7 linked regions of the Oryzias latipes genome follow. The protein of the gene in region 1 interacts with the protein of each later gene in a biochemical or structural test. Links are inferred from orthologs where the notes say so. Each region holds a gene or a part of one and is shown on either strand. Other genes may lie near its edges. The genes, in order: discs large homolog 1-like protein, tmem178a, tanc1, arhgef26, rho guanine nucleotide exchange factor 16, kcna4 and adgra2.

Evidence for each region.
Region 2: the proteins of discs large homolog 1-like protein (region 1) and tmem178a interact in a test that uses a peptide from one of them, tested with the Homo sapiens proteins (2 studies listed by IntAct, with this or other methods). The link is inferred for Oryzias latipes from reciprocal best matches to the Homo sapiens genes DLG1 and TMEM178A.
Region 3: the proteins of discs large homolog 1-like protein (region 1) and tanc1 interact in a test that uses a peptide from one of them, tested with the Homo sapiens proteins (2 studies listed by IntAct, with this or other methods). The link is inferred for Oryzias latipes from reciprocal best matches to the Homo sapiens genes DLG1 and TANC1.
Region 4: the proteins of discs large homolog 1-like protein (region 1) and arhgef26 interact in a test that uses a peptide from one of them, tested with the Homo sapiens proteins (2 studies listed by BioGRID and IntAct, with this or other methods). The link is inferred for Oryzias latipes from reciprocal best matches to the Homo sapiens genes DLG1 and ARHGEF26.
Region 5: the proteins of discs large homolog 1-like protein (region 1) and rho guanine nucleotide exchange factor 16 interact in a test that uses a peptide from one of them, tested with the Homo sapiens proteins (2 studies listed by IntAct, with this or other methods). The link is inferred for Oryzias latipes from reciprocal best matches to the Homo sapiens genes DLG1 and ARHGEF16.
Region 6: the proteins of discs large homolog 1-like protein (region 1) and kcna4 interact in a biophysical measurement, tested with the Homo sapiens proteins (2 studies listed by IntAct, with this or other methods). The link is inferred for Oryzias latipes from reciprocal best matches to the Homo sapiens genes DLG1 and KCNA4.
Region 7: the proteins of discs large homolog 1-like protein (region 1) and adgra2 form a complex in vitro, tested with the Homo sapiens proteins (2 studies listed by BioGRID and IntAct, with this or other methods). The link is inferred for Oryzias latipes from reciprocal best matches to the Homo sapiens genes DLG1 and ADGRA2.

Annotation. Positions count from the first base shown.
Region 1 is NC_019875.2:12,784,518-12,788,782, forward strand, and holds the start of discs large homolog 1-like protein, read left to right. Parts: upstream 1-1,465; 5' UTR 1,466-2,066; coding exon 2,067-2,085; intron 2,086-4,265. UniProt on the Homo sapiens protein: Essential multidomain scaffolding protein required for normal development. Recruits channels, receptors and signaling molecules to discrete plasma membrane domains in polarized cells.
Region 2 is NC_019859.2:131,453-136,199, reverse strand, and holds the start of tmem178a (transmembrane protein 178A), read left to right. Parts: upstream 1-1,797; 5' UTR 1,798-1,896; coding exon 1,897-2,362; intron 2,363-4,747. UniProt on the Homo sapiens protein: Acts as a negative regulator of osteoclast differentiation in basal and inflammatory conditions by regulating TNFSF11-induced Ca (2+) fluxes, thereby controlling the induction of NFATC1.
Region 3 is NC_019879.2:20,885,681-20,889,656, forward strand, and holds part of tanc1 (protein TANC1), read left to right. Parts: intron 1-864; coding exon 865-987; intron 988-1,458; coding exon 1,459-1,740; intron 1,741-1,876; coding exon 1,877-2,022; intron 2,023-3,976. UniProt on the Homo sapiens protein: May be a scaffold component in the postsynaptic density.
Region 4 is NC_019871.2:12,832,014-12,835,536, reverse strand, and holds the end of arhgef26 (rho guanine nucleotide exchange factor 26), read left to right. Parts: intron 1-1,335; coding exon 1,336-1,478; 3' UTR 1,479-2,684; downstream 2,685-3,523. Other genes in the region: ATP-dependent RNA helicase DHX36, read right to left, coding at 3,316-3,523. UniProt on the Homo sapiens protein: Activates RhoG GTPase by promoting the exchange of GDP by GTP. Required for the formation of membrane ruffles during macropinocytosis. Required for the formation of cup-like structures during trans-endothelial migration of leukocytes.
Region 5 is NC_019865.2:7,808,285-7,812,260, reverse strand, and holds part of rho guanine nucleotide exchange factor 16, read left to right. Parts: intron 1-186; coding exon 187-350; intron 351-583; coding exon 584-640; intron 641-1,760; coding exon 1,761-1,921; intron 1,922-3,866; coding exon 3,867-3,976. UniProt on the Homo sapiens protein: Guanyl-nucleotide exchange factor of the RHOG GTPase stimulating the exchange of RHOG-associated GDP for GTP. May play a role in chemotactic cell migration by mediating the activation of RAC1 by EPHA2.
Region 6 is NC_019861.2:9,905,253-9,909,332, forward strand, and holds the end of kcna4 (potassium voltage-gated channel subfamily A member 4), read left to right. Parts: coding exon 1-1,834; 3' UTR 1,835-3,484; downstream 3,485-4,080. UniProt on the Homo sapiens protein: Voltage-gated potassium channel that mediates transmembrane potassium transport in excitable membranes. Forms tetrameric potassium-selective channels through which potassium ions pass in accordance with their electrochemical gradient.
Region 7 is NC_019867.2:17,250,796-17,254,771, reverse strand, and holds part of adgra2 (adhesion G protein-coupled receptor A2), read left to right. Parts: intron 1-1,599; coding exon 1,600-1,671; intron 1,672-3,551; coding exon 3,552-3,623; intron 3,624-3,727; coding exon 3,728-3,799; intron 3,800-3,976.

The sequences.
Region 1 (4,265 bases):
CCAGCGGAAGCAGGTTTCAGTAGACTAAAAAGTCTAGTTTTGATTTGAAATCAGCTCAAATTTATGTATTTATTGGCTGTTTTGATGACTGGCAGGTGGATGGACTCCACTTAATCCTCCCTTTACTTTGTCCTGCTCAAACTCAGTTTTTAGGAACTTTGTCAGTCAAGGTGGGTGGGGTATAATCAGGTCCATATGACCGATACATGGCCCACCCTGATCCTAGTGATAATCCAATGTTTAGATCAGTGGGACTGACAAAGCATTCTGCTTCACTCTGAAGTAGCTATCAAAGCAGAATCTGACATCATTGAATCCTAACCTTTTCAATTTCATGGGTAAGCCTTTCAGTGGGTAAAACATGATCACCCAGATGGCAATTATCAAAACATGCATCGATTTAAGTGCTAATGGGATTCTGAGTAGAGTAGGAGTGTAACAATTCAGTTTAACAACGAATCGATTCATGTAAGTTGTGGTTGATGATACGATTCATAGTCGATATTGTAGTTCATTTTGAACGATCCGAATCATGGACATAAAATCGATCCAGGACATCTTCAGCCAAAAGCTTCAACCAGTGTGACTCAGATACCTGGTACTGAACATTGCAGGTGAGGTTTTCCAGATTCCTTGTATTTCTTGCAAGATTGTCAAAGTTAAATTAAATATGTGAACAAACAAACAAGTTACCAAGAATTAGTGGTAAATATATTCACATTTCAGTTTCTTTGATTTCAAAATAATACAAGAAGACATTATTAGAGCATTCTACCACAATGTTTGGTCACGTCTTCAAAGTGTTTTCACATATTGGACTGTTTTTCCGCCGTCACATGTCTGTTGTCTGCTGTGATGCACTTGGTCGTTTTTAGGTTATAGTAACATAAAAATTCCATGCCTCAATTCAAATGAGTTTTTCCCCCCAATATCAATATAATCGATTCATTTAATTTTGAAAAGATTTTTTTTCAAATGATATGGATCGATTCCACTAAGAACGTGCCTCAGAGAGATCGGAGGAATATTAGTCGATTCGTAGATTAATTGTTTACACCCTTAATTCTAAGTCTAAATAAAACAAACAATAAACCCCCCAACAAGAATTGGGTCGTCACCCCTCTGAATGAAAGGAACAGTTCCACGCAGCTACTGTTTCCTGGTGGGGCACTTCTCCCCACTTTTTTCCGTTTTTCCTTCATTATTTCCCTTAATCGTCACATTTGTAACCTTTAATCCCCCCACCCCCACCCCCTCCGCTCCCTTTGGAGCTTCCTTCCTCTATCCACCCCGCCCCGCCCCTCCCGTTCTCTCTACTTCCTGACACTTTCCTCTGTTCCTTGTTATCCTTAAGTCCCCCCTCCAGTTTTGTAAGTGTGTTTTTGTGTAAACGTGTATGTGTGTGTAGGTGTGGTGGTGGTGGTGTGGGTGTTGGGGGGGGGGGGGGGGGGTGAGTCACATGGTTCACGTTCCCAGCTCCGCCATTTTGGAGGAAAGTTTGGGATTTGTGGACCTGGGAGGAGGAGGAGGGGGAGGGATCTCCTGTCGGACAAGTTTGACACGAAAGCAGCAGGCAGGGAGGGGGCAGCGGGCTGGACTCTGAAGTTTTCTTGATTTTATTTGGAGCGGCAGCTCGTCTCCGGACCTCCGGCTCCAGCACGCCCCTCCAGCGCGGCCCCGGGACGGCGCCGTAGGGTGAGGTCCCGCAGCGGGAAGCCGGACCGTCACTTCCCCGCAGCCGCGGTGAGCCTGCGCGGGGCTCGCCGGCTCAGGAGCCTCCCTCACGGGAAGTTCAGAGCCAGGACTGCCGCTCTGTTCGTCCCTAAATTCTTCAGTTCTTGTCTGGGACGTCTGTGTTGGAGCCCGTGGGAGCAAAAGCTGCAGTCCGGTTCGGCTCAGCCTCACCTGCCTCAGAGTTTTGCAGGTTCGGACGGGAACTTGGTCGGTGCTGACTGATTGGGAAGGGTTTTTCTGGAGCGCCAACAGCGGGCTGAATGTGGGACTAATCGAGCCGAACCTGCCCAGTGTGAGGACTGTATGCGGCGAACACAGTGCCGAACCGAGCCATGCCTGTGAGAAAGAAAGGTAAGCGTTCACTTTAGTTATGCACCAAGTAGGCGAGCTAGCTCTGCTAACGGCTGAAAGTCTTAAGTGCTGGCTCGTGCGGAGAAACACGAGACTCATAAGAGACAGACGCACAACCACGGACTCACAAATACGCGGCCCAGTTTGGCCTCCTTAAGCAGAGCCGAGCCATGCCGGCCAGGTGAAGTAAGTCAAAATAAAGCTAGCTTGTTAGCTTATGTTGCTAACCAAGTTATAAAATTGGCACCTTGTTTGGAGAGCGATTAAAAATAAACTTAATTCGAGTAAAACATTCGTGAGGTTTTGTTCCCTAAGCAGGATAAAAAAAGTGTTCTAAAGACCTATGATCATCATAATGGGTCATAAACGAAGCGGAACCGGTTTAATGTAGCGCCAACAAAAATCATAATAATAAGCCAGAAATGTGGATAACAATCCAGTCAAAATGGAACTAAAACGAAAGTGTGTGTTTTTAAAAATATATATTTTAGATATAAATTATAATAGTTAAATTGTCCACAGCAGGTTTGATTCCAGATGTGGTTTAGTTTGTTGAAAGTTTGCTGTGTAAATACAGATGCCAGGTTTGGTTTACCTGCAGTCCATTGCAGCTACGGAAGCCTGGAAAGCTCCTCAAAAATCTGCTCAGAAGCCGTCACTAAGAAGTCCCCTTTTTAGAATGCTTGTGTTTATTAAAAGTTACCACATGACCCTGAAAACTGTATTTTGAAACTGTTTCAGATAAAGTTTGACATTTTTAAAGCTTTGGCTCAACTAAACTTTGAAGTTGGTAACATTTGAAATGGACAAACTCGGATGTAAACAAACCTGAAAGTTGATCAAGTATTATGTATGAAGTTTCCCTTACAAATCTGGATTACTAAACTTTCCATTAGTGTATCCCAATGTAAAGACTAATCTTACTGGGGCCCACTTCTAAAAATACATAAATTACAAAAGTTTTGAATAAAGATGACAGTATTACATAGCCTATTTATAGTCTTTATAGTCATTCAAAATCCCAAAGATTAAAAACAATCAAACAGACGAGTCAAAACAGTACGGTACTTGTTTTTGTTCACCTCATGGTAGGTCTTTTCAGAGCTTCCACTGATTCACCCATGTTTTTTTGGCAGAGATTTTTACACCAAATGGCCTTTCTGACACAACCCTGTAATTTTTCCGGGCTGGGGACTGGCACAGGGAGTCTCAGTCGTGGCCCCTTGTGGCTCCGTAGTAAGGCAGAAGGGTTTTGCCCGAAGACCCACACTGGATGACGCTCATTGCGCCCCCTGGGAAATGAACCCTGGTTACCCACGTACCAATCCTACACACAGCCAACCGAGCTGTCAAGCAGCACACGAGGCAAAACAGCGCAATGTAGATTCGTTTCATGTATATTTGAATATTTTGGATTATTGGCTACTTTAAAACTACTATCACTACCTATAACCATTATGTCTAAAGGCAGCCTATTCCTCTAAGCAATTGCTCTATAAATAGCTGTTTTTTGAGTGCATTAGATCATGGTAATAGAAAAGTAGCTGAGGCCCTTTGTGTGTTAAAATCAGGTCTAGGAGTGTGCAGTAATTGTGAGATTAAGCTTTAATGTCCGCATTTTATGTACAGACAGACCCAGACTACAAGCAAGTTTATCATTGATTTTTATCCATGTCAGACTTTGATGCATCCAGTTCATATTAGTTTTAAAAGGGCATCCTAGAGCCAGTTTTCCAGCGTTACTCTGCTTTGTCTGAAGTTTAAGGTCTTTGGGCGACGCGAGACCAAACTACAGGGCAATGGTCCACGTATCACTAAATACTCCGGAAACATTTGTTATAATAATTGATGTGCTTAAACTTTGGTTTGGTTTGACTAACCTTTGAAGTTGATAACATTTGAAATGGTCAAACTCAGGAGTTGATCAACTTGCTGTAGTAAAGCAAAAATGATTTATGCCATTTTAAAAACAGCTTAAATGCAACAACTCCGCCCACTTAGAGGCTGGATTCCACGGAAATCGAAATTTGACTGAAACCAAGGCGTGTCACGGAGTGTAATGCATGCCCATAAAATGGAAATGCAGCTAAAGTGCTTAGCAATGAAGGTCACGACCACATAAAACAGGATTAAACTGGAAAAATGTATTTAAAACAAACATACACCTTATCTCAAATAAA
Region 2 (4,747 bases), on another chromosome or scaffold:
TGAGATTTCCCATGAGCCCTCAGGTCACCAAGGAAACACTACAAGGCCCTTTCTGATGTGCAGATAAAGAATGACCACGTCAGCTGAGAGGAAGAGATGAAGGTCACCTCATCACCCCAGGCTCCAGACACGTGTGCACACAGGAGCTGCTTTTTTGAAGGTGTGAGATGTTTGTTCTGATGAGAAGAGCAAACATCGTAGCTGCTCACAAAGCATGTTCTCGTGTGTGGGAACATAAATAGCTCTGGGGAACAGCAGGGTTCTTCTCAGTTCTGTTTTGGAACCGTCTCGCATCAACGTCACCTGAAGGTCCAGCGGCTGAACGTCTGCGTGAGGTTTAGAGCTGAAGAACAGCAGACGTTCAAGCAGAAACTTTTCAATTCAAAGACCTGATTTTTGGAAGTGTGTGAAGGTTACTCAAACAACACAATGTTGTGTTAGGGTTTTCCTTCCTATCGTCATGGAGATCCTGGAAGAATCCCATTTTTGAACATTTCTTTGATCTGCAGCTGAGAGTAGACAAGAACCTTTATGAAGGAGATCCAGCTAGATCTGCTTCCTGTTGCTGGACCTCTTCACCAGAAGTTCTGCCTCTGAATTCAGAACTTGTTCATGTTGTTTTGTCTGTGCAAATGTGGAAACGAAGAACGTCTGATGTTCTAGTTTAAAGTCCCTGGGAGCCAAGAACCAGCAGAACATCTCTGCTTTCCACTTTCAACTGCAGTCAGCACTTCTGCTCACCTGACATCATCAGCAGCAGCTCAGAGGCCACACCCCCAAGCCCAGAGTCACCTGTTATGATGTGTGACAGGACTTCCTTTGGCATTTCAAAATAAGAGTGATAGCTTCTACTGCCTTACTGACCTAAAGATTTCCAACCATCTCAAAGCACATGTCCGTCTGGGGCAGTTCTGCCGTTTCCATGGTAACCAGACACTGTCAACAAGTATCTCCAAGAAGTATGACACAGGACCAGCTTGTCCAAACTGATCCAAGCTGTGAAGATCTGCTTCTTCACCAAACAATGGGAAGAGGAAGCATTTCCTCCCGTAAATAACCTTCTTCTGCTAACCCTGACGTCCCGTCAGCCGCTTACTTCATGAAGTGATGTGTCGGTGTATTTGAGCATCTGCTTTTCAGTTCTTCATCTGCTTCGTCGTCCTTCTGTTGCTCCTGTAGTTTGTGAGTTTATTATGTCATTTCTAAGTTTCTGCCACATACCGGATCTCCTGGTTCTTGGGTCCAACACCACTGGCTGCTGACAAATCTTATAATAATTCTTTGCTCGTCTGCACAGTCATCCCAGTTTTTTTCATTTCATTGCTTTTAAACGAGGGATTTTTTTGTTTGCACCACAGATCATAACAAACTCTTATCAAAGCTTTCACTCCCATGGAAGTTAACTGGTTTTGGTTCTGAAGTTCAGCTTTAAATTCTTTGTTCTTCCCTCCTCCCCTGGAAGGTGGTGACTGCAGGTCAACACATGATGGTGTTTGCTAGAATGACATGAGACTGTGGTCCAGCCGCTCTTTCTGGAGAACCCGTCTACTGGGCCAATGGGAACCGCGTGAATCTTCTCCAACAACCTGCAGCATCAGGAAGAGGCTGGGGTTCTGGTACCGCTCTCCAGACCCAATCCAGGATTAGTGTTCAGGCCTTTGACCTGATCCGATTTAAACGGACCGACTTCATGTGTCTGGAAAACCAGAAACACTGCCGTCATCCTCCGCCGTGACGTCACTGCAGCAAAATAACTGTCATCTGTGACTGGGCTTTTATTTTGAAGGCTAGACCCCACGCCTCCGGTGCCACCCGCGTGCACGTTGACGCAGCACAGTCAGTCGGCATGACAACGCGCTCTCACTGACAAAGGCGCCGCAGCTCACGCGCCGGAGGATGGCAGCAGAACCTCCGTGTACCGGAACCGGTTCGGTCCTCGCAGTCATGCAGAGCGCGCGACCGGTCACCGTGAAAGTTTCCGCGGCCAGCCTCACGCTCAGCGCGCTCGCGCTCTTGCTGCTGGTTACCGCCATCTGCACGGACCACTGGTACCACACCGACACACGCGCGCACAAGGAGAACTGCGACCGGCACGGGGCGGACTCCACGGACCAGAAGAACCGGGACATGCCGATCTACCATCTCCCGCTGCTGGACGGAGGCGCGCGCCACCGAGACGTGGCGCTCATGAAGCCCGTGCACGTGGGTAGCCGCGAGGAGGAGCTGCTGGAGAACTGGCGCGCGATCCTCGGGATGGGCATCCTCGAGACTGAGTGCGGGAGGCCGCTGTTCTCCACGCACGCGGGGCTGTGGCAGAAGTGCTACTTTGAGGATCAGGACATCGACAAGCTCATCGCACGGGGTCAGCGCGTGCATGTGATACTTTACATACAAGCAAACACTCCTGCACGCACGCGCGTTCAGTATCACCAGAAACGTCTGCTGTTCACAGAGGAGAGCGCGCTCTAATGGCACAGTGAGTGAATGTCTGACGTCATAGATGCAAGACACCTGAACCTGGAGCACTGAGAATTGTGGGTAATGGGGTCCAGGATCCTTATGGGTCTGAACCAGAGACGGCGGACTGCAGATTTGGAATCATTAAGCAGCCCCAAACTGATAAAATCACTGAGTGCTACTGCTTGGAGATATTAGCCCTGTTCTGACCCGTTCTGACATATTAGAACTGTTCTGACCCGTTCTGACATATTAGACCTGTTCTGACATATTAGAACTGTTCTGACCCGTTCTGACATATTAGCCCTGTTCTGACCCGTTCTGACATATTAGACCTGTTCGGACCCGTTCTGACATATTACCCCTGTTCTGACCCGTTCTGACATATTAGACCTGTTTTGACCCGTTCTGACATATTAGAACTGTTCTGACCCGTTCTAACATATTAGACCTGTTTTGACCCGTTCTGACATATTAGAACTGTTCTGACCCGTTCTGACATATTAGACCTGTTTTGACCCGTTCTGACATATTAGAACTGTTCTGACCCGTTCTGACATATTAGACCTGTTCTGACCCGTTCTGACATATTAGACCTGTTCTGACCCGTGCTGACATATTAGAACTGTTCTGACCCGTTCTGACATATTAGACCTGTCCTGACCCGTTCTGACATATTAGCCCTGTTCTGACCCGTTCTGACATATTAGAACTGTTCTGACCCGTTCTGACATATTAGAGCTGTTCTGACCCGTTCTGACATATTAGAACTGTTCTGACCCGTTCTGACATATTAGACCTGTTCTGACCCGTTCTGACATATTAGAACTGTTCTGACCCGTTCTGACGTATTACCCCTGCTCTGACCCGTTCTGACATATTAGCCCTGTTCTGACATATTAGAGCTGTTCTGATCCGTTCTGACATATTAGACCTGTTCTGACATATTAGACCTGTTCTGACCCGTTCTGACATATTAGACCTGTTCTGACCCGTTCTGACATATTAGAACTGTTCTGACCCGTTCTGACATATTACCCCTGTTCTGACCCGTTCTGACATATTAAACCTGTTTTGACCCGTTCTGACATAGTAGAACTGTTCTGACCCGTTCTAACATATTAGACCTGTTTTGACCCGTTCTGACATATTAGAACTGTTCTGACCCGTTCTGACATATTAGAACTGTTCTGACCCGTTCTGTCATATTAGACCTGTTCGGACCCGTTCTGACATATTACCCCTGTTCTGACCCGTTCTGACATATTAAACCTGTTTTGACCCGTTCTGACATATTAGAACTGTTCTGACCCGTTCTAACATATTAGCCCTGTTTTGACCCGTTCTGACATATAAGCCCTGTTCTGACCCGTTCTGACATATTAGAACTGTTCTGAACCGTTCTGACATATTAAACCTGTTTTGACCCGTTCTGACATAGTAGAACTGTTCTGACCCGTTCTAACATATTAGACCTGTTTTGACCCGTTCTGACATATTAGAACTGTTCTGACCCGTTCTGACATATTAGAACTGTTCTGACCCGTTCTAACATATTAGCCCTGTTTTGACCCGTTCTGACATATAAGCCCTGTTTTGACCCGTTCTGACATATTAGAACTGTTCTGAACCGTTCTGACATATTAGACCTGTTCTGACCCGTTCTGACATATTAGAACTGTTCTGACCCGTTCTGACATATTAGACCTGTTCTGACCCGTTCTGAAATATTACCCCTGCTCTGACCCGTTCTGACATATTAGCCCTGTTCTGACATATTAGACCTGTTCTGACGCGTTCTGACATATTAGAACTGTTCTGACCCGTTCTGACATATTAGAGCTGTTCTGACCCTTTCTGACATATTAGACCTGTTTTGACATATTAGAGCTGTTCTGACCCGTTCTGACATATTAGAACTGTTCTGACCCTTTCTGACATATTAGACCTGTTCTGACATATTAGACCTGTTTTGACCCGTTCTGACATATTAGAACTGTTCTGACCCGTTCTGACATATTAGCCCTGTTCTGACCCGTTCTGACATATTAGAACTGTTCTGACCCGTTCTGACATATTAGACCTGTTCTGACCCGTTCTGACATATTAAACCTGTTCTGACCCGTTCTGACATATTAGACCTGTTCTGACCCGTTCTGACATATTAGAACTGTTCTGACCCGTTCTGACATATTAGACCTGTTCTGACCCGTTCTGACATATTAGAACTGTTCTGACCCGTTCTGTCAATTTAGACCTGTTCGGACCTCTTCTGACATATTAGCCCTGT
Region 3 (3,976 bases), on another chromosome or scaffold:
CCGTGCATGCGTTGGTTTTGTCTCTAGGTGTGATTGTGGCCCTGCGTCAAACTGACTGGTGTACCCTGCCTTTGCCCACAAGTGGCCAGGCAAGGCTCCTCCTGCGGCCCTGTGACCCCGAAAGGGACAAAAACAGGTTTTCATTTAGCTTCTGCAGTGCACCTCTTACCCGCCATGACACTCTGATGGATTCTTTTCACCTGCTCATATTTGATTTTCAAATCGTTCAATCATTTCTTTGGAGCTTCTTAAGGTTTGTAGCTTCATATTCTAATGCAATTTGCTGTGAACCACTGAGTGGATCTTGGTGTTAAAACCCTGATACACCCTGATACAAACAGAATGCATCAGTTTACTGCACCATACTCAAAATATCTGAAAAAAAACCTTTTTTTGAGTACTTTCTTGGTCATTTATTCTGGTTTGTTTCTGCCTTTCTGTTTTATTTGTAAGTTTTATGACTCCCTTTGGTCAGCTTTGTTGTGCTTGGTAAAAAAAATTTGACCTTGACCTACTGCTCTCCAGTGTGTAGCTGTCAGATGAAATCAAAGAAAAACAAAGAACAAGGGGCTTTGACTCTGGGATGCTCTCTGCTGCACTACACTGGTGCTCTCACACACATGCACACACACAAACACTGCCTTTAGCAAGCTAGAAATGTCAGAGCACACTGGTTTGTTTCTCCTTCATTTATCTTTTCTCAAATATGGCACAACTGCAGTAACATTTTTTAGCAGTGTCTGATTCTGCCCGAGTCATGTTTTTTTTTTTTTTTTTTTTTTTTTTTTTATGAGGGCACACCCCAAAAAATTTAGGACAGTCTGCTTCATTTCCTTCTTTTTCTGTCTACATTTGTGTTTACAGCAACCAGTTCCACAAAGTTAGAAGACTTGGGCTTTCTTGATGAACAGCGCAACACTCCCCTCCGGACGTCCATCCGTCTGCCCTGGCATAACACAGGAGGACGACCCCCCCACGACTCCAAAGGTGACTGTGCTGGAATGCACTGTCAGTTTATTGCTCACTCAAAGATAACTTTGTCATTTTTGGTAGATACAGATAACAAACAAAGTTGGTGATTTCCTATATTGCTTTATTTTGAACATTTTTTGTGTTAATTCGACACTGCAAAATGTGTAACTTCCTCTCCTGATGTTTAATAGTGGATGAAATTGTAGCTAGAAGGTTGTGGATTTTCTAGTTCTAGTTTTTATAAATCCAACACGTTGAATAAACAAGTTAAGAAGAAATGCTAAATATTATTGGGATAAAACTGCTTATTTTTTTAATTGTATTATCTAAGTACTACAAATGATTGGCAATCTGTACTTCAAAGCAGTTATTCTTAATTCAGTTATCTGTGACACAAGTCTTTCACTAATTTGACAGCACTGAGGATAGAAAATGTAAGTCAGCTTTTGCAAAAATAAGATAATATTGTTTTTTTTTCCTTTTCAGCCCGCTTTGCTCCCTACAAACCTGCGGACATCATGCTCAAGCCTTTGCTGTTTGAGGTGCCCAGCATCACCACTGACTCTGTGTTTGTTGGCCGAGATTGGCTCTTTCAGCAGCTGGAAGACATCCTAAAGGCCACTGAATCGAATGGCAACCAAGGCGCTGTCGTTTTGGGCAGTGTGGGTCATGGCAAGACTGCCGTGATTTCCCGGCTCGTTGCACTGAGCTGCCATGGAGGACGCATGCGCCAGATTGCTTCCAATAGTCCAAGCGCTTCACCGAAAGGTAACACCTTAAATGCAATACAAACATTTCAAACTCCAAAAATGGGACAGAACGTTAACTGGCCCGCAATAAGTGTAGTTTATGTAGACACATTAATATTGTTTATATGTATATATGTGTTTCCTATGCATTGCAGCCCAAAGCACAGAACTCCCCCTCAGCCAGCCGGCTCAGGCCACTCCCCCTTCCAGTGCCGCCAACACACTGAGGACCAGCAACTGCCCAGCAACCCCTGAGGTGCAGCGGCGTAGAGAGGAGCCCATGAAACGTCTAGCTTCAAAGGTACACGTCCGGGTGATGGATCCCACACTATGAAGAAAGATAAAGCAGACCGATGAGGAAAACTAAAAGCTTTTTGTGGTAGACGATTAACAAAAATTTTTAACTAAATATGAAAATAAAGCATTACAGTGCAGATTACCACTGAAAATAAAGACATTTTGACAAATCAGTACATTTCAGGTATGCAAATCTATTATCTTGAAGCCATCAAATGTTTTGTACAGCTGAGACACTTTCATGAATCGAATTCTTGTAAAGGATCGACTGATAAAAAGATTTTACAACTGTGGGGTTTTTTAAGCAGGGTTTTGCAAGTCAATGGCTTTCTTGGACCCATAAGAAATCACTTTAAGATTGAATCATTTAATGAAATTAAAATGTTTCCTTCTATTTTTATTTAATAATTCAAATAATCCTTTTTTTTTTACATTCTTAAGATGCAAACTGACAGGGAAAGAATAAACTGCACAGGGATGCAGAATGGGAGCAATACAACAGCATACATTCATATTAATCAAACCACTTGGTTTATATTTGATGGACACTTTTGATCACCTTCATGAAAAATGAACATTTTCAGCTGTAGTTGGGCAGTCAGACCACCTATCAAATAAACCCTTCTTAATTTTTGTATCCGCTAAGTGATAAATTGGCCTAAACCAATTTAGGGGATGGTGTATCTTGCAGTCAGTAGAAAATGTAAAGTATAACATTGATCTTCAAAACTCGTTAGTTTTAAGGTAAAAAAGAGTCAATCTAAGAGACAGTTTAAAATAATAAATAATAAGCTTTACACTGAAAGTCCAGATCAGGATTAAAGAAAACTATTAGATTTAATCAAAACTGAGACCTATTTTCTAGTGAAGGCATCTGTTTACAGCTTTTTAAGCTTTTGTGCCCTGAATTGCTCATCTGTCTTAGCCGCTGTGTCGTCTTGCGATGCCTGTCCGGTGGAGGCAAACTTACCAAAATAAAAGCCTAAATGTTCATATTTTCTGACCACTGAGAGATCATTTTAGGGGGGGGTCATCCTACATATCTGTTAAAGCCTAGCACCACATCTTGTGCCAATTACAACTTAAAGCGTTTCCAACTTAGTCTTTCTCTTGGGCAATGCTGCTGCTTTCGAACGCTGATGCAACACTGAGCAGCTTCTGTCAATTCTCTGTAATCATCGATTCAAACGTGGACTTCAAGGCTTTTACTTTTCCTGCTGTATTTCAAGCCTTGTAGTTTATTCATTTGATAGATGAAACAACATATATTTAAGTGTCTGCCAGTACAAGCACAGCAGGCGGAATGACTGATTGTAATTGCTTATTGATGAAGAATTTCCATACAATACTTAGATTTAGCTGCTGTAATGAAATGGCTTTTTAGCTTCACACAGACACTGTGAGCCGGACATCTTCTGCAGCTTCTTTTGGTTTCACAGCACGTATCTTCTAAGATTGTGCGAGTCGTGAAAATACACAATCTATACTTACACCACCGCTTCTTAGACGTCACCCTTCCTCTCCAACCAATCTAGTCCCAAACCTCCCAAATCATCAAGGGAGAGAAATCTTAAAAATCCTAAAAGAGGTAATCAAGTAGTAAAAATGTGAAAGGACTCTAATCTTAACAATAAAACCACTAGAAAGTAGTAAGTGATCTCTCCAGGCATCAAGTCATTTTTACTTAATGAGAAATCTTATTAAAAGATCTTAAAATATAGAAAAAAAAGTTTCTTACAAGCATTAAGAAAGGAAAGAACAAACTTAAAAATATAATTGTAATAGAATTATTTAAAATTGAATGTTATTCATCCCAATAATATGTATTTTTCTGATAGTTCTAAGCAAACAGTCTGTATTTTGAGTTTTGATGGACCTAATTATAGTTTTTTGGATTATAATGAAACTAGTGTAATAAGCAGAAATGATTCATTGTAGAACAAAATGTGAACAAAATA
Region 4 (3,523 bases), on another chromosome or scaffold:
GCGGGAAACAGTTCAATGGTCACACAAGTCTAAATTTGACATTCACGATGGTGATTATAGAAACTATGATGCCTGGAGTTAGAAAGAGGCCTTCTTAGCATTCAGTCTGCATCCAGCAGCTCTAATGTTGAGGGGCTGAATGAGTGTTTGGGCAGCCTTTGTGTTTTAAAATGAACTATGAAGGCAAACAAGTGTATAAAGGTCTTGGAGCAACATATTCTTTTCCAGAGAATGTTTTTAATTAGGAAAAGGCCTAATGGCACAATCCTTATGCATCCGCATGGCTTTGTTCTAGAAGTCCAAGTAAGGAACAGACATATGACTGTTGTAGATTTCTTTTTTTTCTGTAGATTTTTCCTATTTGAAGCATAACAAACTGAAAAGTACAGCATAAACCACCAAAAACTCTCCTGCTCCTAGTACATGGCTAAACTTCAACACCAAACTTCATAGCATATAACCTCCATAGCCAGTCATCTTCAAACTGGTGCTGAATCAGTGTAAAAGTACACCTATCTCAAATGTAACAGATGTTAAAATGAACTTAAATTTATATTGGACACTAAAGGCCCACTCCAATCATCTTTTGATTTATTTAAGTGATTCCAGTGGTCTTTTAATTACGATTATGCAGTTTTTAGCCAAAATCAAAAAAATCTTTTTTTTTTTTTTTCAGGACCTAGTTTCTGCAGAGCCGCAGTAGGTCATCAGAAATTCACCTTGGAGAGTTTTGGGTGGGACAGTTGGCAAGGAGCAACCCCACCCCTCAGCCCCTTCCCATTGCTGAGAGCTCAGAGCAGGGAGCTTGTGGCCCGTCCAGCGTATTTTTCAAATAGTAGTTTTTTATGTCTGATTCACCACAATTTGAATTAGAATCTAGAAATGCAATTTTAAGTTTAATTTATTTTTTTAAGAGTGGGCCTTTAAATCGTCTAAATAATTATTTTACATATGTGTTCTTTTGTGAATTAATCAGGTGTGATGCATTTTTCTTTTCATTTTGTTTCAAAAAACAAACGAGCAAAGAGTTTAAAGGTTTCAAAAATTCTTGTATTTTCCCCCAGATCCTCACCTGAACTCCATCTTTATTATTCTTCTCACCCTTCTTACCTTTGGTCACATACTTTGCCGCTCCTCCTGTTCTTTTCCCTTAATAGGCCAAACGTTCGTTTGAAGTTTCACATCTCTAAAGTGTGAAGGCCAGGGGTCATTTCAGTTTGGGTGGCTATAGCAACCAGCTTTGATGTTAAAGAGCAGTAACAAAAAAAAAAGCCTAAAACTCTGTAGAATGAAAAATGAGTTGTTTTTTTCATGAAACTCTTGTTCTTTCCTCAGGCTGGTATGAAGGTGAGCGTCTGCGTGATGGGGAGCGGGGATGGTTTCTGGCAGAGTGCGCCGTTCAAATCACGTGCCAGGTCACCATCGAACGCAACATGCAGCGGATGAATCGCCTGCAGGGGCTGGAAACGGATGTGTGATGGGATAACAAGGGGACGGCGTAAACTGCGTAACTGTGACGCCCCGACACGTCCATGACCCCGATCCTGAACCGCCGATTTCCGACAAGTCAGTTCAGCGGCTAAGCTGAGCTACGAGACAACTCTAATTTAACAGAATGACAAAGAGGAAGCCGTCACCCTGCTTAGCGCGCTCTTAACACCAGTTCTTCCAACCGTTCAGAGGACAGAAGGTTTTCTGAATCACTCATCAGTCTGTGCTGGTTTGATCTTTCGGGTCCATTAATTTGCCAGCCAGTCGGGAAACTTCACACTTATAGCCAAAGCTGCTGCTTTCAGCACCCTGCCATTAAAACAGTGTGAAATTGTAACAATTTTTTTAAACAAATGTGCGCTTAAACTAGTCCAGAACCATTGCAGGACATAAACCATGCCAATTAGAGCAGAAAAGAACATCAGCCATGTCCTAATGAGGCTCAGTTTGAGAGGAAGAGCTTTACTCCAACCAATATGTTAGACTTCCTGCTTCATATGAAATCAGAGGCATTGCAGCCGTCTGAGAGGAGCGATGGCTTTCGCCGTCCTTCGGGTTAAGCAGAGGGCCAAATGTCCGTCCTCTGCCTCGCTGTTTGTAATGGCACATCATGAATCACACTCCACATTTGTGTCACGGGTGCCATTATTCTCTCCATCACTTCAGTAAGGAGGATCGAGGAGAGAGAAAAAAAAAATACAACACTTGGCAGTGACCAGAGGTGGCTCTGTGCCTCTTTAGGATTTATATTTGCGATGCTCTAGAAATTAATGCCTGCGCTGATGGTGAGACCCGCGGAGACGGGCGACCCCGCCTGGCCCGCTTTTAATGTGATTGTCCGGAGTGAGTCATCTTTCAAGCGTTTCCCAGATATAAAGGAAATAAATGGCTTTGTCAGGGCATGGCGATAATGCCATCTATCAAACCCACTTCTCTGGAGCTGACCCAGATGATGAGCACAAGATTGGAAGAGGTGAGCAAAGCAGCCAGAGCCAGTGTGTGGACTCCGCATTTTTGCACTCAGGGAAAACCGTTTGATACCGCCCATCTAAGCGTGACATCGTCTTGTAAGAACTGTAAATCTTCCGTGTAGATATGTAAAACATGCATGTTTTTGTTAATACAGATTTATATCAGATCTTGTAAATAGAAAAACTGATGTTTGTTATTAAAAACCTCTGCCGTCTCAGATTCTAAAATTCTTGATTTCACTTGCTGGTAAACTTTGACCCATAGAAAATGGTGTTTCTGGGTCGGCCGTGGTGCAGAGGTATAGTGGTCGACCTGGGATTTGAAGTTCACCAGTTCGGTTCCTGCTATGGATGCCCATGTGTCCTTGGGCAAGACACTTACCCCACATTGCTGCTGATGGTTAAAGGTTGGTCCAAGTGGAGCAGCCATAAGTGTGTGAATGGGACTGTGACTGTAAAGCGCTTTGGGGTAGTTAGAGGGCAGTAAAGTGCTGTATAAGTATACGCCTTTAGGTGTTTTTTACGAAGATTTAAAAAAACAACTAAAAGGAAAACATGAAAGTATATTTTTAAGTCATTCAATAAGCCAACATAAAAAAAACTTTCCAAAACAAAAAAGACCACAGGTTTGTCTAAATACAGATTGGTCCGTGCAAAATAATAAACAAGCGAATTGAAGGACAAATGGAACTAGTTCAAGTGCAGACTACATGTAGATTTTTTTCCAGTCCTCTGTTTGACCTTCAGCAGAACTCTAGAACTAAAATTTAAATCAAAGACACCAGCTGCTTATTCGAAATGTCCCAGCCAAACTTGGAGTCTCAGGATGCTGGCAGTCTTTTCCAGGCCACCTTTAATCATCGTCGTCATCAGCATCATTGAAGTAAATGTGCTGTCCTTTGGGGGCGGACGCCCACGTCCTCCCACTGCTGCCCGCGGCCCTCTCCTGGGTGGTGATGAGGTCTATGATGGCGGTGATGACAGCGCAGTCTTTGGACTGACGGTTCTGCCAGTCCACAGGGGCTGGATTGCTGATTTTCTCCTGCAGCAGCGAGTCAAGT
Region 5 (3,976 bases), on another chromosome or scaffold:
TTCCTTTAAATGTATTAAGATCCTTATTTTGTTGTGTAAACAATACAATTTAGTATAACTGTAAAATAATTTAGAATTACTTTTATACCAGTCGTTCTATGATATAGGTAAGTTGAACCCAAGATTAAACACTTTTATGCATGTATAGATGTAAAGCTTAAGTAATTTGGTAGTCTTGGTCCTCAGCCACACCGTGCCTCTACCAAGAGATGCGTGAGCGCGGCCTGCACTCCACCAACCAGGACGAGCTGCTGGACGACTTTGTGGTGGTGGAGACTCCAGTGGAGGACCAGGGCATTGTGGTGAAGAATTACAAGCCAGCACAGCTGACCTGGAGCCAGCTGCCACAGGTTAACCCTCTCACCTTATAAGTTTCAATGCTCTATGTTGAAATTGTCATATTTTTTTTGTACATCTGAAAATCTTTTCATTTGAGAACTTTTAAAGATTACTCTACTGAGTAAAAGTCTCCCCTCGTTTTTGTTTAGGGGTGACATTTGCAAAGGTTTTAATTCCAAAACATTTAAGTTTTTTTAACTCATTCTTTAAGTTACATATTTTTCTGCTTTGATATCTTGCAAAGGTGAAGAACTCAGACATTCTTTCAAGGATAACACCTCAAGAGAGAAAAAGACAAGAGGTAATGGCAGCGTTTTTCTATTTCATGGTTTTTTGATGATGAGCTCCTCAACCATAGAGAACTCCTGGAAGCCAGTTACTTTATCAGAAAGAATACATTAATAAAACACATTTTTTGTGTTATGTAGCTTTCTCACTTATTCTGGATGTCACACTGTGTCTGCATGACTTACCCCCCCTGCAACAGTTGCTAGACCCCAAATAATGAGTGCAGTTCACTTTTTTGTTGTTGTTTATTTTTATTTTTTGATAGAGTAAAAAAAAATGCCGTTTATCTACGCTGATGACATTTATTTCTTGATCTGCTTTTGTTTTTTATGAATTTATAAACAAAAGCTTATTTTTTCAATTTACATGCATACCAGAAAATAATGAAGTGTGTAAAACAAATCTCTCTCATCTCAAACTGAAGGTTCAGGCAGGTTTAGTGTCACAATAAAGCCACCTTTACGTTCCCTTCCAAAACTCTTTTCAAATGCTAATGAAAATCACACACCAATAGCAAATGACTTTATGTATTTATGTCAATTTTTTGCTCAGTGGCCGCCTTAGATATGAATGAGTCGAAACTAAAAGTTGGACCTGTGTGTGCTCTGGAGTTGTTGAATAAAGCCACACCTTGCCTGTGTAACCACTCTCTGTGGGAGTCCCCTGATCACTTCTTTGTCCTGCTCTTTTGTACCTTCAGCCAGTTTCCTGTGTGACACCAAAAACACAGACTAAAATCCACCACACACATACCACTTCTAGAAGAATTTGCAAAACCTTTTTTATGTACTGAATATGTTTCATTTGACGTCTTTTTGTTTTCTTTTTGTCCTCTCTGGACCACTTTGTCTAGATTTAAGAAGGTTGTGAAGTTTATTATATCTCTGTTTGTTTATTTATTTTCTGAGCCAAGGACCAATGTGCACATAACTGTTGCACGTTTGTGTCTACATAAAATTCACGAGTAATTTCTTGTTTCAATGTATTCTGGTTATCACGAAAAAAGGGGGGAAAAAAACTTTAAAGTGGGTTCAGGATAAAGTTTTAAAGGAAAGGCTTACACACATACATGTTCTGTTTTTTGTGTTTAATGTGCGGTGATCTGTCATTTCCTATCTGTGATTATTTGGCAGGCTATTTTTGAGATCATCTGCTCAGAGCACTCATACCTACACAGCCTGGGCATCCTGGTGCGTCACTTCAAGAACAGTAAAACACTGAGTAAAACGATGGCGCCCACAGAGCACCACCACCTCTTCTCCAACATCTCTGTAATTCTCAAAGTCAGCCAAAGGTTTGAAGCAACACCCTTTACCACTTTGATAAGAATCTAACATGTTTTGTTATAATGGGCTTTGTTTAACCCTTGTGCTATCCTACGACCCCACCCTTACATTGATGTGTTCTCCCTACCATGACAAAGGTGGATAAAGGTGGAAAGATTTCATGTAATCCATGGACACCAGTGAAGATCAAAAATCACTGAAGAAAAAAGGTTCAGCGCACTGTCTTTTGGGGTTTACATGACCCAACTCCCAATGTTAAAGTGCCTAGGATAGCCCAAGGGTTACGGGAAACGTATATCAACCACTATTTAAAGTTTGTATGAAATTGTAATATTTTCACAATGCCAGATCTGAAATGATTTTGAGTTGTTTTAATGGTGCGTGAAGGTGTAAATATACCCGGTTTTCTTTGGCTGAAGGGTTGAAAACGCTCCTTTCCTGTCGGTTTCAGTATTTGCCCTCAGTGTGCCTTTAGTTTTGTGTATGTTCCATTAACTTGTTAGGACTTGTGAGCCAAACCGGTTTTGCTGCCTGAATGCACCGAGTTGTGTACTTTGCCCTAAAATGAAAATGTTTGGAAGTGAAATTGTTTTGTTTTCTTTTAGTTTCATTTATAAATGAAGTATTGGTTCTGTTCTATGAGCAAGAAAAGTACTGTGTTTAGTCTTAAGACAGTGAAATGGGATGTGTGAAGCCAACGAACAGTTCAGCTTGTCTATGGAACATCTGACCGCCTTACGTTATCTGCATGTGAATGTGTGTCATAAAGCTGCCTCTGGGTGTGGTTTAGCTTTTGGTGTCATTTTACTTCTTTTGGTTCAAAGTTCAGAACTGCAAAAGAATGTATTGCTATCCAAAAGAAGCACTTTGGCAGAAAAGATCTTAAAATTGTTTTTTGTTTTCAACATATAAAATGGAGAAAGAAAAAATGTGTCATCGAGAACTTTTATTTAGTTTCTGATATTCAAAAATATGACTTATAGGTCATCTAACTTGAGAAAATGTAGGAAAAAAAAATCACTTTGACTGTGGTCCAGATACAATAACACTAGAGAACAAGCAGAAGTATCCAGAGATTCTCTTCTTTCCAGCTGAATTACTTCTACTTTGCCAGTGTCTCAAGCCGTGCAGTTAACTGGATGAACTGAGACAAACTTCTGTGGTAAAAGTAGTTGAAGAAAAGTCACCTCTGTCTTGGTTTCCAGTTAAATTGTGTTTTTGACAATATTTTAATAGTAGTTTAGAACAATAAATTATTTCAGCCAATTTTTACAGGAATGACTTGTGAGCTGACACTTTAGTAGGTTATAGGCTCCAACATCCCTGTGACCCAGACTCTCTGCTCAAACAGACCCCTTGGAATAAGTCCCCCCTCGCACATTGTTCATCTTTTGGTTTATCCCTTCAGGGGCCGCCACAGCAATCAGCGTTCACTGATTCGCACAGGTGGTTTGGCAGAGATTTTTTTTTTAAATTATTAAAGTCTTCCAAAAGGCTAAGAAAATGTTATTACCAAGAACTCTTATTTTAAGAAAAAAAATCTAGTCAACAAGACATGTCTTCTCAAACTAAGATAATTTTGCTGTGGAAAAACTTACTTTATAAGATTATTTATCTTGCAATACAGAAAATATGACTTTTTTTTCTTGAAACAAGTGTATTTTTACTTTCTGTAAATGTAGTTTTGGCAGCACTGGGAATAAAGCGAGTTTGGATGGATGGATGGATGGATGGATGGATGGATGGATGGGGGACTAACTGCCTGCTCAACTAAACATTAGAGCACATTTAGATAACATTTTGTAAAAAATATTGAGTATTTGTATTAGTCGCCCAAGGCAATAAGCAGCAGAGAAACTTTCAAATCAATTTTGACTTGGTTGGGTAGTTAAAGGGTGAAAAGGCCCCTCTGTTTATATGTCTCTGACTGCTTCCATTATTCTGGATGCTCAGGTTTTTCGAAGACCTGGAGCGTCGTCACCAGGAGGACGTGGTGATCCGCGACATCAGCGATATCATTCAGAACCACGCAGCGCACCACTTCGAACCTTACATCGCGTATT
Region 6 (4,080 bases), on another chromosome or scaffold:
TCTCCTTAACAACCGCCAGCATCAGTCTCGCGCCGCCTCCTCCTCAACGAGCGCCAACATCAGCAGCGGCGCCGCCTCGCGCCCCTCCTCCTCCTCCTGGCACCAGCAGGATCCCGAGCAGCAGCAGCAGAGAGTTCTCAGAGAGCGGAAAAAGCAGCGCGGCGTCGGACGGTGGAGACGCAACCGGGGGACTCTCGGCGGAGACCTGCGCCACTCGGAGCTGGCGCTGCTCGGATCGGAGGAGGACATCATGATAGAGGAGGAGGAGGAGGAGGAGGAGGAGGCTGAGGGAGCAGAGGAGGAGGAAAAGGAGCAGCAGGGGGGCCGGGGAGACAAGAGGTCCAGCTTTCTGTGCAACATGGACGAGGATGAGGAGACCGTGTCGATCACGGACAGGCGGCCCCAGTCCGGGTACGAGAACGCCTACAGTGAGTGCGGCTGCTGCGAGAGGGTCGTCATCAACGTGTCGGGTCTGAAGTTTGAAACTCAGCTTAAGACTCTCTCTCAGTTCCCGGACACGCTGTTGGGAGATCCCGACAAGCGCATCCGATACTTCGACCCGCTCAGGAACGAGTACTTCTTCGACCGGAACCGGCCGAGTTTTGACGCCATTCTTTACTATTACCAGTCAGGGGGGAGACTAAAAAGACCCGCCAACGTCCCGTTTGACATCTTCTCCGAGGAGGTGAAGTTCTACGAACTCGGAGAGGAGGCGATCCTGAAGTTTCGGGAGGATGAGGGCTTCGTGAAGGAGGAGGAGAAGCCTCTGCCGGAGGACGAGTTCAAGCGTCAGATCTGGCTGCTGTTCGAGTACCCGGAGAGCTCCAGCCCTGCCCGGGGGATCGCCGTGGTGTCCGTGCTGGTCATCGTCATCTCCATAGTCATTTTCTGCCTGGAGACGCTGCCAGAGTTCAGGGATGAGAAGGAGTATCTGCAGCCGCGGGACAACTCCTCTGAGCCCGACCACGGATTTACGCCCTTCAACGACCCCTTTTTCATCGTGGAAACCGTTTGCATCATCTGGTTCTCCTTTGAGTTTATAGTTCGCTTCTTTGCGAGTCCCAGCAAGACCGCTTTCTTTAAAAACATCATGAACTCCATAGATATTGTCTCCATTTTGCCTTACTTCATCACCCTAGGCACGGATCTGGCGCAGCACCAGGGCAACGGCCAGCAGGCGATGAGTTTCGCTATTCTGAGAATAATTCGCCTCGTCCGGGTGTTTCGCATCTTCAAACTGTCCAGGCACTCCAAGGGGCTGCAGATCCTGGGTCACACCCTGCGCGCCAGTATGAGGGAGCTGGCCCTTCTCATCTTCTTCCTAGTTATAGGTGTCATTCTTTTCTCCAGCGCGGTGTACTTCGCCGAGGCGGACGAGCCCACCTCTCAGTTCACGAGCATCCCCGACGCGTTCTGGTGGGCCGTGGTCACCATGACGACGGTGGGCTACGGAGACATGAAGCCCATCACCGTAGGTGGGAAGATAGTGGGCTCCCTCTGCGCGATTGCGGGTGTGTTAACCATCGCGCTCCCGGTGCCTGTCATAGTGTCCAACTTCAATTACTTCTACCACAGGGAGACCGACAACAACGAGGACCAGACACCTGTGGTGGAGAGCATGCCTCCAGGATGTCCGTATTTCCCCGACTTTCTAAGGAAATTCAAAGGCTCGCCCTCGGGCTCCTCGCTGGGGGATAAAGCGGAGTACATGGAGATGGAGGAAGGGCTGACGGAATCGCTATGCGGGTTGGACAAGAGCCCCAGTAAAGGAAACGGCACAGACATAAGCAGAAAAAACAGCACTAACTCTAAATCTATTCAGACAGACGTGTGATTTTTTCTGAAAAGACATTTTTTGCCCAGCATCAGGTGACTACCCCTCAACTTTTACGCTCCATTCAACCCCTCTTACGCACTCATCCACCCCTTTCACAGTGGCAGGAAAATGCTCCATTCTTTTTCTTTTTTCCTCAACACCAACTTCAGAACCATATTGTATCATCTGAGCTGCGGGCTTCCAACTCTAACATCTAAGTCCAGTTCCACAGAAGAGACAGGCTATGCATTCGCACTTTATGAGTTTTTTTGTCACATCCGAGGGGTAGGGACGATCATTTTGCTGTTATGCAATAAAGTTATCATTTGTTTGCACTAAATTAGTATCTGCGCTGGGTTTGGGGCAAGTTCCTGTAGAGACAGAAAACTGTAGGCCATGCTGGCAACATTTTAGGAATAACTTTACGGAAAAATGTTAGAGAAACTTCTAAAAAAGCAAAGTAACATAGAAAACAACAGCGTTTAAACCCTACCAAACTGTACTCCATTGAAGAAGAAAATAAGACAGAAGAACTACCTTTATCTCTGTTCCAACACTTAAAATATGAATATATATCCATAATTGTTATATATCTTTCTAAAGAGGCTTTATTTTAAATGAGTCAGGGCTACATTGAGATACGTAGTTTAAAAAAAAAATCCCCTTCCTATCCTAAACTAAAGTAAATCATCACCATGACAAGAGTTAAGCACATTCATCATCATTTATGGCTGGAGAAATGACTCGTTGCAGGTCATCTGGACATTTTTGGAGCCTTGAGACAAACCCCTCCCCACCTTTTTTTTTTTTACATTTTCCTCCACTTTCATTCAAACCACCTCAAAGTGACAGTATCCCTTTACAAGATGGAAGATTATAGCAAAAACGACTGTTGTGGAAAATTCTTCAAGGAGAGTTTACGCGCAATTTTTTTTCTCAAGTCAATGCACAAGCGTACATGGCTCAGAAAACCAGCGGAATAAGGATGTCTTCCAAGGTATGTGACTTTTACTCCTTTTTAATTGACACAAAACACACAAACAAAGCCTCTAAAAACAGGAACCACTTGAAGAAAATCCATGCAATGCATTTGTTATTTTCTCGCCCTTGGATGTATCTCCACTACCTTGGTAATCTCTTAGACCCCCCCCCCCCCCCCAAAAAAAAAAGAAAAAGAAGAAAAAGATGCATGGATGCGCGTGCGTAACCGTGTGTAAAACACGATATGAACGCTGGACGACTATGACGCACATTCCTGCCAACATCAGTTAATGTTTCTCCTGTGCAACTTTACAGCTACCCTCAGACCTCATTTGCAACAATATCACAGCGTTTTTCATTAATAACGGGGGCAATTATTTCATCCATGATGACATCAGGTCAACTTCAGGGGAATTGTACTTAAACTTTTGTAAAAAAAAAAAGCAACACCTCATAATTCTGAAGCTCATTAATACACAATCTGAACCCCATTTTTTATCTTCATTTAAAAAAAAAAAAAAAAAAAAAAACATCACTCAGAGTAATCACTGACACCGTTTTTATACTCTTGGCTGTTGATAAGAGGTTTTGCAGAATCCCAGCTGCATTTCTGTCTAAAGTAACACAAACACTGTAATTTAATGAGATTTTGTTTTTGCTTGATGAAAGTATTTTAAACCTCCAAAATAAAAGGAAAGAGAAAAGAGGAAAAAGAATCATATCAGGGTTGTCTTCCAACAGAATTCTTGCTTTAGCTTCTTATTAACTTTACTAGATAACTTACTTTGTGTGTGAGAAAAGAGGGGAGAGACTATGTGTGTGTGTGTTTGCAGAATTTGGCACAAGTAGGATGTTTTTACAACCATCTGCTGAAGCAGGAACGTTTCTCTTTGAGCTTCAGCCAAAGAAGAGTTCACATGAGCAAAGGCTGCATGACAAGTTTGTGGCTTTGTGGTCAAATATATATCCTGTACTCAGTTAAAACGTCAAAACTCTTAGCGCTCTTCATCCTTGAACAGTAAAATAAGAGAAGCTTTAAACAAGGAAAAATTTACAACATAATGGATTCTGAATGAGATAAAGGAGGGTTATTTCATGCGATCGTACTCTAAAACTTTACTGCATCTCTCAAAGAAATGAAGGAAGGTTAGTTTTGGGAAGCTACTGCAAAAATAATACCAGACGTGTTGAGCTTTACCTCAAAAGTTCAACAAAAACAAAAGAATAAATAGAAATTTACCACCTGGTTTCAAATATGCAAGTAGGCAAGATGCTCATTTTGG
Region 7 (3,976 bases), on another chromosome or scaffold:
TCTTTGAAAGGGACAGACAGGGTGGGAGAGACAGACCTTAGAGAGAGGAAATGGTGGGTAGCGCCTTGTCTTTCAGCACCACACTAATGAGCTTTGTGGCACACAGACTGAGAGCAAAAGAACAGTTTTTTTTTCCTTTTTGCACTGGTCAACAGCTCCTACACCACTACTGACACACAGACACAAATGCATTCTCAGGACACAGCAATTACCACATGCATCAAGACAGACAGAAAGAAACTCCAGACATAAACACCCAGGAGCATTTTTCTGTCCAACATAGCTTATTTTATTTTGCTTTCTTACTTGTGGGTATGAGAAGTTTCAATTGTACCTTTATTTTAATCAAATTGAAATGGTTGAAAAAGACTTTGTCTAAAGCTTTCTGTCAAATAGCTAGAGCTATCCAAAAATGCATTAACAAAAGCATAACACACTTCAGAATGACTGATTTAAAGCTAGAAAACTGCTGCTCCATCCTAATATCTGTCAGCAATCCAAATATGAGGAGTGTCCTGGAGGTATGTTGCATCGACATGAACCCTCTTTTGCTTTTATCACAGCCATTCCATACTTTTCGGGTTATTTTATAAAACAATGCCTCTGTCCAATGTTGACCAGAATAGAAAAAAAAAAGCTTGGCTTTTGCAGATTAAACATCACAATGGTGAAGAAACGCCTGAGGTTATACAGTGCATAACGGAGCACCATCTAGAAAAGCAATGAGAGACTGTCTTTTAAAGGAAAAAGGAGCATAAAGTTGCCTAAGGGTGTCCATTTTACAAAAGCACAGCAAATAAAAGGAGATTTTAAAAAAGGATCATTGCATTCATGTTACCAATCCCTCTAGGAAAACGTCTTCTGTGACAGTTCCAACAGGAACACATTTTTTTGTGCTTTAGGAATGTAATCACATGTCCTGTTAATAGCCTTCCATCTTTTGACCTGTATTACTATTCCCACCTGACAAATAAAAGAGAAAATATGGGATCCATGTAGGCATCTGCTTAAGTTGTTTAACATGTGTTAGTGGTTGCAGAACGTCTTTAAAAAAAAAGGATATTAGCTCTATAGACTATGAAATTAGATCTTCAAAAACATTTAAAGATCACAGCCTCTATGTTTTCTTTGTGCCCAAGTATTTTTTGAAATTTGGTTAAGAAATTCATTTTTTCTACACCTAGATCCAGGGCGCTGGGAGAATGAGATTTCCTATGATTGTGAAGAATTATTGTGCATTGTCCCACAACAGGAATCAGCTTTTGAAAAATGTGTCAACATACCCTTTCATAAAAATCTGAGGAAGCTGTTTTGTTTAAAACTTTGTCAATTTGATGTCATTTTTTAACTGGTTCTAGCCTCCATGCGAACAAGATGTAGCTTCTCTGTGATTTTTTTTCAAGATTGTCTTTGCTTTGTGCAGACCTTGACAAACAGTTTTTTTCTTGAACAACTAGTAAATGAATTGGCTGCTGGCTTCAGTTATCTTGAAGCTATGGGGTAGGGAATCCAGATGAACTTTAGTTACAAAACAGCTGTATTTCTGCCAGCATAAACACTCCTGCATACATTTTCAAAGTTTTCTCTCTCTATTTCCAGAGACCTCAAGCACAACTTAATCAGCACCATCATGCCAGGAGCCTTCCAAGGCCTGTCTGAGCTTCGGAGACTGTAAGTAGATCGTGATATGATCGCAGCTCTGCTGAGTGTAAAAAGTACAAACACAAACTTAGTGGACTTGAAATGATTGGTATGTGATGACAGATTCCAGTTTATTTGTGTGATCTCACTAGATGGACAGTAAATGAGTCACGGTAACAGTGTTTTGTTGGCTCACAGTAGATCATATTGAGCTCCTGGTGACAGTATGACATAGACGCCTCCTCAGATAAATGTTTCTGCCGACATTTGTGGAAGCTCCTGGGTGTCAGGCCTGTCGACTACTACTGTAACTTAGGGGCTACCCATTACTAACGTTTGCAGCCACTAGCTGCTTTCTCCTGGTGCTTTTGGAGTTTAAGGCTTTGTTGCAGAGTGAGACGAAAGTGTTTGTCTGCGCCACACCACATGACTCCCCATCCCTCCTCCTTGTACTTGTATTTTCCCTGCGAAGTCTGGGGCTTCTCAAAACAAACAGGGAGAGATAAACACATGCTCTGGACAGCTTTCTGCTGGGTGGTGTCAGAGGTGCAACAGAGCAGATCCTTTCTGGCTACAGCCATACATCATGCTCAGTGGTGAACAGGGGCCCTGCTTTTATCCCGCTGATGATAAACCTTTACTTGGATCCTCTGGGATCCTGAAAAGGGAAAGTGTCTGAGGCTTTTTGTTGGCTGGTTTGAAACTTTAAATCAGGAGAAGTTGGACTGCGTTAAAAGAAGGTCTTACACTTTCTTATAAGGTAAGCTTAGAAGAAGATTTCTGGATTTTAGAGCAGTGCTCGACATACTTCAGGTCCCCAGTGTCAGACACTGGAGCTCATAGATTTTCAATATATAAACAAAGGCCCTTGTGCTCTGAGATACTTTCAAATTGGCAACAGTTGACATTCTGAAATGAACTGGATTGAAAACTACAGATAATTTCAAAACATTTCAGCTTTATTTGAAAGCTGTTGTTGTTATGAATAGAAAATTAAGTTAAAAACATCAAAAGTTTTTTGACACAAATCTATTTTTGATAAAAAGTTAGACCTTTAAAAATTGGAATTAATAGAAAATTGGTTGATAGCTCCCTTCTGAAACCAGCCCCCCAGTGGGCATTTAAGGAACTGTTACATTTGGTACTCTCGATTGAAAATCAAGTTATAGGACTTGGTTTTCACATATTTGCACTATGTACATTCAGGAAGTGAAAGGAAAATTGATATATTCAGATTTATATGTTGTGCGTTAAGGGGAAGTGGTGTAGTGGTTAGCAATGCCACTACCCAGTGGATTCTGCATGTCCTGGCCATGCATGCATTGGTTTTCTTTGGCTTCTTCAAAACCAAAGGCATGCTTGATAAGTTTATTGGTGACTCTAAATTGTCCCTGAGTGAGTTAGTGGTTGCTTATCTCTGTGTGACCCTGCAATGGACTGGCAAATTGTCCAGTGTGTAGCCCACCCCATCCCGACAGTAGCTGGGTTAGGCTTCAGCAACCCTGTAACCCTGATCAGAATTAAACAAGTGTATAAAATAGACAAATGGCAGATTTCATGCAATAAATCAAAAATCCGATAACATTAATATTTTACCACATCAGAAGTTTCTCACATTTGGTAAGATGAATTTTACCTGGCATGCAATATACTGTCTCAAGAGAATATATCATACAGCCCAAAGTGGCTTTTCAGGACACAGTGGGCATAGAAAATCAACTGTATTGTGACAGGGCTGTGGACAATAAAGCTTTTAAGAATATTATGTAAGATTCATAAAGTATGTGTCCTGGCATCACTAAAACAGAGGAAGTGATAAATAAAAATGATCTCTCTATTTGCAAAAAGTTAAAACAAGTTTTGATTTGAAAAGAAGTAACTGTGAATAATTTGTTTTTTCACACTTCTAGCGACCTCTCCAACAACCGCATTGGCTGCCTGACAGGAAACATGTTCCAGGGGCTGACAAATTTGGCTAAACTGTAAGAGACAGATTGATTAGTGTCCGTGAAACTGTTGTGTTCTTTGATTTGTGGTGAAGACATGAAGAGAACCTTGTTCATGACTCACGTATGCATTCTGTTAGGAACTTATCTGGCAACATCATTTCCACCCTGGATTCTGAAGTGTTTGAGGAGCTGCCGTCTCTCAAGCGGGTGTGAGTACTGAAGAAAAGTGAGCTTGCTTTTGGGAGCAATACTGTCCATTTGTGAAAACAAACAAACAAACAAACGAAAAAACAAGTAAGCCACTTTATTTTCAAGGAGGTAAAAGTAAAGGTTGTACCTAAAAGTGGAAAGGGCTCAAGAACTTCTGTGTTTTAATACTCCATAAT